2 linked regions of the Arabidopsis thaliana genome follow. The protein of the gene in region 1 interacts with the protein of each later gene in a pairwise test. Each region holds a gene or a part of one and is shown on either strand. Other genes may lie near its edges.

Evidence for each region.
Region 2: the proteins of CYTC-1 (region 1) and AT4G01920 interact in a two-hybrid assay, tested with the Arabidopsis thaliana proteins (one large-scale study listed by BioGRID).

What each region holds. Positions count from the first base shown.
Region 1 is NC_003070.9:8,077,454-8,081,383, reverse strand, and holds CYTC-1 (CYTOCHROME C-1), read right to left. Parts: upstream 2,098-3,930; 5' UTR 2,001-2,097; coding exon 1,889-2,000; intron 1,873-1,888; exon of another isoform or gene 1,410-1,872; coding exon 1,276-1,409; coding exon of another isoform or gene 1,272-1,275; intron 1,197-1,271; coding exon 1,098-1,196; 3' UTR 810-1,097; downstream 1-809. Other genes in the region: AT1G22850 (SNARE associated Golgi protein family), read left to right, coding at 359-469, 666-713; AT1G22830 (Tetratricopeptide repeat (TPR)-like superfamily protein), read right to left, coding at 2,352-3,930. UniProt on the Arabidopsis thaliana protein: Electron carrier protein. The oxidized form of the cytochrome c heme group can accept an electron from the heme group of the cytochrome c1 subunit of cytochrome reductase.
Region 2 is NC_003075.7:828,030-833,190, forward strand, and holds AT4G01920 (Cysteine/Histidine-rich C1 domain family protein), read right to left. Parts: upstream 3,260-5,161; 5' UTR 3,051-3,259; coding exon 1,074-3,050; 3' UTR 797-1,073; downstream 1-796. Other genes in the region: AT4G01915 (uncharacterized protein), read left to right, coding at 44-99, 183-268; AT4G01925 (Cysteine/Histidine-rich C1 domain family protein), read right to left, coding at 5,144-5,161.

The sequences.
Region 1 (3,930 bases):
TGTCTTTTTATCTAATCTCTATATCACTTTGACACAAAAAAATGAACTGTACAAAAACATGCCTATCTTCTCTCATTTCAAGCCTATGGTGTACAATAAGTTCATGTTGATCAGCACTTGTGTAGGGTAGAAAGCTAGCTAAAATCATCAGCTAAAAGTTTTGTTTTTGACTTAATGAAAAGGAGATCGATATCGAATGGTAAACATGTACTCAATACGAGGGAGGCTAGTCAACTTATGGAAGTTAACTTGAATTGTAGAAACTGTGTCTGATATCCTGTTGAATTGTGAATACATGGTGACTCTGGCAAGCATCATAAAATCATCAAATGACAATCTTCTGTCTATGTCGCTTCAGCAAGAAGAATCTAATGTTGGCTTGCCTGGAGGAAACGGCCAGCTTTTAACTCTCGGGGTGGGTCTGTTGGTTACTGCATTGGCTGGAACATATGTGACAAGCCTTGCAAAGGTAAACTCATACTTGTTTACTTCTTTTCTTTCTCTGTTCTGCGTTATATTTGCCTCCCACTTCTGATATCAAACCAACTGGTTCAAAGCTTCGTAGCATATAAGCTCAGAAAAGTCCCACATTTGGTTGAAACTTAAAAGATGTAAAGTGAAATGAATCTGTCTCATGTATATCTTTTACTTGCCGTGTGTTGCAGGATGCTATAAAGGATATTGATGATGATGAGAAGAGAGATGCAAAGTAGGAAACAAGCCAGCGATTGGATAATGGTTTTGACTCTCTAGGATTTGTAAAACGCCAACAGAGTATCATGTATCAACGTTAAATGTATTGCTCCATTATTGTTAATAGTTGATATATAATTCGAATCTTTTTTGTCCTTCAAATTTAAGCACCAATAATAAGTGAGAAAATGCTTTCTAGACAAAAAAAAGGAAAATGAGCCTCAGAAAATCAAATGTACTCGATAAAGTGAGCCTCAGCACACATTACAGCCAAATTCCCACCAAGAACGTAATTGATGATAAACAAAAAAAGTTTGAGATTTTATTTGGCAAAAGAATATAGCAAAGTAAAAAAGCCTCATCTGAGAGAGACTTAACAACTCAGAATCAATCCACCATCAGATTCACTTAGGCGCAGTAGATTCCTTCAAGTAGGCGATGAGATCAGCACGGTCTTGCGGCTTCTTTAGCCCAGGGAACACCATCTTGGTACCTGGTATGTACTGCATCATATAAAAAGGCCATCAATCTCAATGTTAACAACAACAACTCATGAAACAATCATGACATGATTATACAAACCTTCTTGGGGTTGAGCAAGTAATCGTACAAGGCCTTCTCTTCCCATTCCACAGCTTTGTTCTTGTTAGCAGCAGAGTAAGAGTAACCAGCAGTTGTACCAGATTGTCTTCCAAATAGACCGTTTAGATTGGGTCCTATATTAAAACAACAAGGTCAAGTGTTGAGCAACAATGTGACGCAAATCACATTCTACAAAAGCTACGAAAACAATAGAAACCATTGAGCAACAGTGTTTTCTAATTTCACGCAATTTCAAGAAAAAATGAGAATCTGTGACGCAACTAGCTCAAATCATTGTTGTATCATTACTTAGAATTCGAGAATCAAGTTCCACAAAAATGCGAAAAGTTGTATATAAAAACCTCAGAAATTCGTCACATGCATTGAGCTGAAGATTTAAGGATAAACACGAGTAAGACATCGAGGTTATTGGATCAGATCTATGATCTAATCGAAGAATCCGTTAACCAGATCACATCAGAGATTTTTGATTAACATGAACAAATCGATTATAAAGCGATGTAAAACAAAGGCCCGATAAAAATTCAGATAAATTGCGAAAATCAACCATAGAAATAGAATTCAAGAGTGAGAGAGATCGATGAGTGAAAACCTTGTTTGTGACCGGCGCCTGCTTCGACGGTGTGACACTGAGCACACTTGGTCCTGAAGATCTTCTCACCGGCCTTGGCGTTTCCTGGTGGTGCTTCATCAAACGACGCCATTTTTTTCGCTTGAGCTACGCGATCAGGAACAACAAGAGAAAATGATTACGGAACTCTCGTTTCTCTGGAGCTTGCCGAAGTTTCCTTAGGGTTTCACTGTGGAAAAAGTGACCTCTCTTAAAAAAGCAGTATCTCCAATCTTAATGGGCCCTTAATGGGTTTAGGTGGGCTCATATTTATTTCATATATAATGCTGTTTATGCTTGTTACTCATACTTGCGAAGGACCATCCCCTAGTTCATGTAAACTTATGTTTACAGGAAATCATGCAATTAAAACTTGTTGTATATAAGATTTATGTACAAATTGATTCTCCAGTTTGATAAAATATTTCTATCAGAATTTGATTCTTTATCCTACTTCTACAAGACGTTCTTCATCTGAACTTTGCTCCTGATTGATGACAGAATCATCGTTCATCGGCTTATTATTCTCTCCATCTAACTCCGAATCTGTTTCCATCAAAGCAAACTCATGAGCCTTTTGCACGCCCAAGTCACTCAGTAAAGTCTTCACCGTTACAAGCTTGCTCCAAGAACCAGTTACTGCATACATATCTGCAAGCAACATATAGTGACCTAAGTGTTCTGGCTTTGTTTCTAGTAGTAACTTATCTGCAGCCCACTCCCCAATGTTTGTGTTCCCGTGGATGAGGCACGCTTTCAGTAGAGTAGCACACATAGCACTTGATGGCTCGTAAGGTATTGTATGGAATATATCTCTGGCTTTATCCAGGTAACCTGCTCTGCAATAAAGATCAACCATACAAGAATAGTGTTCAAGGCGAAGGCGTATACCAAACACATGCTCCATCTTCGTAAACAACCAGTGTCCTTCACGCACTAAATTGGAATGGCTGCAAGCTGATAAAACTGCAACCATAGTTACATGATCAGGTTTGATACCGGATCTGTCCATATCCTTGAACCATGCCAATGCGACTTCTCCTTTACCCAGCCTGCCATATCCATCGATCAAAGAAGTGTATGTCACTTTGTCCCTCTTCCTCATCGAATCAAATACTCGCTTTGCAGCTATGATTTCACCGGATTTTGCATACATATCGACAAGGGAGTTCCACAGGATTAAACAGTCCTTGTAGCTTTGGCGTCTCAGGATGTAGCAGTGAAACTCTTTCCCATGTTGCAGGTTTCCCACCCGAGCAAAAAGAGGGAGAATGCTAGCAAGCGTAATGTGATTTGGGTGAAATCCAGAGAGCAACATCTCCTTGAGCAGGAAAGAGGTTTCTTCTGATCTCTCGTTGTATGCAAAACCGGAAATGATAGAATTCCATGTACTCAAACTATTTGCTTCAACCTGCTGAAACACTATAAACGCGTGCCTAAGATCACTGCATCTTGAGTACATTGTGATCAACGAATTCCGAACATTGTCAATATCATGGGAAAAACTACAACTACGGATCACAAGGCAATGAAATACTTTCCCCCACTTTAACGCTCCAATGTGTGAGCATGCCTTTAAACCATTAATCATAGCTACAGAACCTATTCTTACATTGCAATTTCTCATCCCAACAACACAATTCAAAGCCCCTATGTAATTTCCTGCCTCCAAACAACCTCCAGCTATTGTGTTCCAAGTTACAATACTCGCTTCGACACCAGAGAGATACATTCTATCAAGAAGCTTAAAAGCTTCCCCTAACTTTTCTTCTGAAGTATAACAGTTGATTATTGCATTCCATGAGACAGCATCCCTTTCAGACATCCTGTCAAACAATCTCCGAGCAACATCCACTTTACCAAATCTTTTATACATAGATATCAACGCGTTGCAGACATACAAGTTACACCTGTGAGAGCTAACCTCAATAGAGCCATGAACAACTCTCCCATATGCAAAATCCAGTAATGCTGCACAAGCCTTGATAACAGACGGGTAAGTAAATTCATCCGCTCTAATTCCT
Region 2 (5,161 bases), on another chromosome or scaffold:
TATCAGAAGTCAGTCTAAAGATTGTCATAACCTGGCTTAACAGATTCTTCCATCTGTGGTACTATATATCCAGAAGCAAACATAGAGATCTTTGGCCAGGTAATAAGTGTTTATACAGACATATTCAAACAAAAACATACACATGAATACTCTGTTTCTTTTTGTTTTGTTTTCTGGTGAAGGGATTGGTTACGTGGACGACAACGTGCTACTTCGTCTACACACAGAACTTGCTACAATGGCGTCTTCAAAGCATTGTAGTTTCTGAATACCAGATGATCTGAAAGAAACAGTCATGTGTATGCTTTGAAGACGCCATTGCCCAAGACTTCTTGCAACAAGGGTTTACTTTATTACTAATGATCTGAAACAGAATGCACATTGACATTATGCTTAGGGAATCTTCTTGAATGTCTATCATGGTTATAGTTTGCTCTTCAAAAAATGTCAATCTTAGTACTGGTGGGAATGATGATGACACAACATTCTTGAGTTAAGAAGTTCTCTTTGATCAGTTGGGTGAATTTCTATGGCATCCCATCTGAAACATTAGCGTTCAATGGTACCTCCATAACCAGTAGCATGGCAGAATGTTCTATACAACGGCGTAAGTAAGATCCTTCATTCCAAAGACAAGGCATAACACGTTTGAAACAGCTGATCATATCAAATTAAAATTCCAAGATTCTTAGATAACTAATACATGCCATAAGTACCATTAAATCAACTTCTTAGAATGGAAATGAATTTGTAAAAGAAATGGTACAAGAAATCTAAAAGAAAAGCCTACTCGCTAAACATCCGAGGGTCCAAGTATCTTCAAGATGATAGGAAAAATGCAACGCAACTCACACCAGATGCAAAATGGACGAGATAAACTATTATTGAGCACCACCTCATATGATATATGTTACAACACACACATTGTATATGGAGTTTGGTGCCAGAAAATTCTTAGATATTTAATACATTAAGGAAATCAACTTATAAAGGAAATGAACTCGTAAGAAAGAAAAAAAATAACATTACAAGAAAAACCTCGACTCGCTAAACATCTTGCTTCATTTTGGGCTTTAACGGTCTGTATATCTACACTCTGCACATTCAAGAGAGCAGGAGTATTCATTCGTGGCTCCAAGTGTCTTCAAGATGATAGGAAAAATACAATGCATCTTACACCAGCTGCAAAATGGACGAGATATACTATTATTGAGCACCACCTCATATGAAGTGCCCTCAATTTTTATTGTGCTTCTTCGCATGAGACTTGAAAGGTCTCCAAGCACACACTTTGTATGCAAACTAGCCTGATGATCTTTACACGTATAGAACCATGTATGTGGATTTGTTTCTTTTTCACAAATGTCACACCAATATTTACCACTTGCCTTTTCGCCATAGCATAGTGAGAGAGGATGATCATGAACTCTATGCTTTACCATTTGTGGTAAAGTGGCGCATCCAAAGCATAATAAAAATCCACAATTATCTTCAATGCAACTAAGCACAAAGTCCTGCTCCATGTTGCAACCAGTGCACCATTGTACTTCGTCTGATGGAAAGTAATATAAGGGATGATTAGGATGACTTGGATGGATATGTGGCTCAGAAATTGAAATGCACCGAACATCGAATGCCTTATTCCCATGCTGGTACTTGAAACCATTGGACAATCTATCACAAGCATAACACCTAAAGCCTTCATCCTTGTTTGTAACCAACGTAAGACGTTCATTGTGTAGCACATGCCATTTCATTCTAAGAAATCCAGCGCAGTTTTGGTGGAGAATGAAGTTACAATCCATACAGCCGTAGAAAGACTGGAGACAGATGGGATGGGTGCATGCCTTGCACCGCTTGTTGTCATCACATAGAACACCATTAACGTTGAGTCTTAGGTAATGCTCTTTGTGACTAAAATGTTGTATTGTGTTTTCATCTATCACCACATATGGCTCTATATCTTCTGTTTCTTCGGGTAATCCTTCAAGTTCTTTCCCATTCCACACATCTTTTCTAGTAGCACATTTTGAATGAACAACATAGCCATGACACCTCTGACAAGAAAAACCTCCATAAGACCAGTCCACCTTTTTGCGACAAACTCCACATACAGAATTCACAACACCAAGAACAGAAGTTCGAGAAACACGGTGATCATGCCGGTTAATGTTGATGAGGCGTGGAAGGCCAAGACAGTCTTGATGGATCATGAAACCACATTGAAAACATACGTAAGGGCTACGATCTCCCTTCAGCCCGCAAGCATTGCATGTAAAAGAATCGAGTTTTGGGAGAAGGGTGAGTTGGTGATCATGAGCTTTCAAATTCAGAAGAGATTGTTGTGGTGGGCGCAAAACACAAACCTTGTCCAAGGTAAAGTTACACGGAGAACAATGGAAAAAAAATGTTTCATCAATCTTTCTTGCGCAAAGACGACATTTCCCATCAGAATAATCCGGTAACTGACCCTTTGCGTAGAGTTTAAGAGGGTGTAAAGAGTGGTAAGAATGGTTTACCTCTAAACGGAGTTCTAGTTCGGGCGGATACCATACGCAATCCACATGAAAGGATAAATCACATTCATGACAATTGTAAGGAAACTCATTACCAATAATCTTGCAACATTTAGCACATATACATTGCTTGATCCACTTCTTGAGAAGGGTAAGCCTGTGGTGATGCGTCTTGGAAATGTCAATAACCTCTGGTGGTGGATACTTTGAGCAGTATAAATCCATGTCGAAGTCACATAGATCACAACGATAGAATATTGGGCACATCCTTCCACACAAATTGCAGAAATTAGTAGGTCTTTCAGGTCTTAGCAGCTGAAGAGTGTGCTTGGGGTGAGATGGATGCTTGATATATTCGGAGGGCTCGTCAGCACAATTTTTTCGGACGAAAAAATCGCAGGTTTTGCAGTAGTATCCATCACTGATAGCTTCAAAGCGTCCACAGCAACCACAGCAAGGACCTCTTTTCAGATTTTTCCAAGGCATCATAAGATGCTCGTGGATCAACGGCATTAACACTCCCTTAGAATCCATGGTCGTTTACTAAGAGATTTTGAAGAAGAAGAAGTTGGATATGAAATCTCAAAGCTAAGTTTCTTTCACGTTTCTCTCTCTCTCTCAAAAGTCTTCTCTCTTTAATTTCAACGATGCTCTTATGAAAAAGAAGATTGGATCTGAAATCTCAAAGCTAAGCTCCTTTCTCTCTCAAAAGTCTTCTCTGCGTTAATCTCAAATCCTCAACGATGCCCTTACAAAATTATTTTTTTATTAGACTTTTGGTTTTATTGGTCTTTCATTAACAATAAAAAATAATTAGGCCCAAAACCCGCACCGTGCCGGTTTTTTCATGCATTTTGTTAGTTATAATAATTAATAATTTACATCAACTGAATTAATTTTATAAACAATCGTTTTGGTGTTTTTTTCTATGATTATCATTTTGATGTATCTTCTAACTCTCAAGTAAATGATTCATTCTATTTATTATGTTTATTTATTTATTTTTAGTTACAATGTTTAATATTTATTTACAATTACTTAACTTAGATATACAAAAAAATAAATTATTATCTTTAAAGTATTTTAAGGGTTTTGTGCAAAAACCACTATACCTCATCCATTTTTGCAACTTCAACCTCTACCTCCATCAAATACAGATTAATCATTAACAATATAAAATAATATGCATTATAACCCTCTTTTGCCTTTTTTTTTGTTACCAACAATTTTGTAAAATATCGATAATAATATGTTAAATTAAAACTTTCGCGAAGAAGAATTTAACTTTACCTTCAAAATTTTAAAAATCTAATGTATATAACCGTAAAAACGTTTACAATATATATATATATATAAAGATCATATTTTGTATTATTTTAGACTTCATAAAAATAATCTGCATTTATTGGAGGTAGAAAATAAAGTTGCAAAATGGATGAGTTAGCACAAAACCTTATTTAAAAGTAAACGGAAAAATAGTTTTACAATATCAATCATTAGTATTATTTTATTAAAATGAACCACTAGTTTAAAATAGTCAATTTTTAATTCTTTAGTCGTATCAATTAGCACTATTTATATAAAAAATGAAAATGAAAGAAATCTAAAAACATTGGATTCGGATCCATTTTTAAACTCTGAACTATTTTTTTATGAGCTGGATATCTCAATTATTTTTTAATTCACTAGATCTTGGAATTAATATTCATATTAACGTTTGAAACAGCTAGATCGTCAAAGTCAAAATTGCAACATTCATAGATAAATAATACATGAAGGAAATCAACTTATTATAATGGAAATGAACATGTAAAAGAAATGGTACAAGAAATCTAAAAGAAAAGCCCACTCTCTGGACATCTTGATTCATATGCATTACATAGCGCAATAACCAGTAGTTGGCATTATGTTCAATACAACGGCGTAAGTAAAGATCCTTCATTCCAAAGACAAGGCATAATTGTTTGAAACAGCTGATCATATCAAATTAAAATTGCAAGTTTCTTAGATCTAATTTCTTTTTTTTTTCTTTTCAAAAGAAAGACACAAATCTTGGCTTGCCTTAAAACGTGTGTACATGTTGATAAAACATTTTCATTTCGGTCTCTAGATTCTGCGAATAATAATGAATGGAGTCTGTGTTTGGTTTCATGTTGAATCAATCAAGATGTGTTTTTAACTGTAAATGAATTATGCAGAAAACATCTGTCCTGGTTCTCAGACATCGGAACTCTGTTCCTAATAAAAACTGAAGTCCCTGTTTTTATGTTAGTAATCTGAAACAACAATTGTTTGAAGACGCCATTGCCAAGATTTCTTGCAACAATGGTTTACTTTCTTACTATTTCTAATGATCCTGAAACAGACTATACAATACGTTGAGAAAGAAGCGAAAAGCTGACAATCATGATAATGCAAGACTGATAGTATTGTGTTGTTCATTTTCAAGGTGAAATTTTGTAGAAAACGAATGTCAGAAAGCATTTGAAACAGCAAGATCGTATCAAACTAAAATTGCAAGATTCTTAGATAAATAATACATTAAGGAAATCAACTTATAATGGAAATGAACTTGTGAAAGAAATGGTTACAGGAAATCTTTAAGGAAACCCCACTCGCTAGACATCTTAATTCACACTCATTGC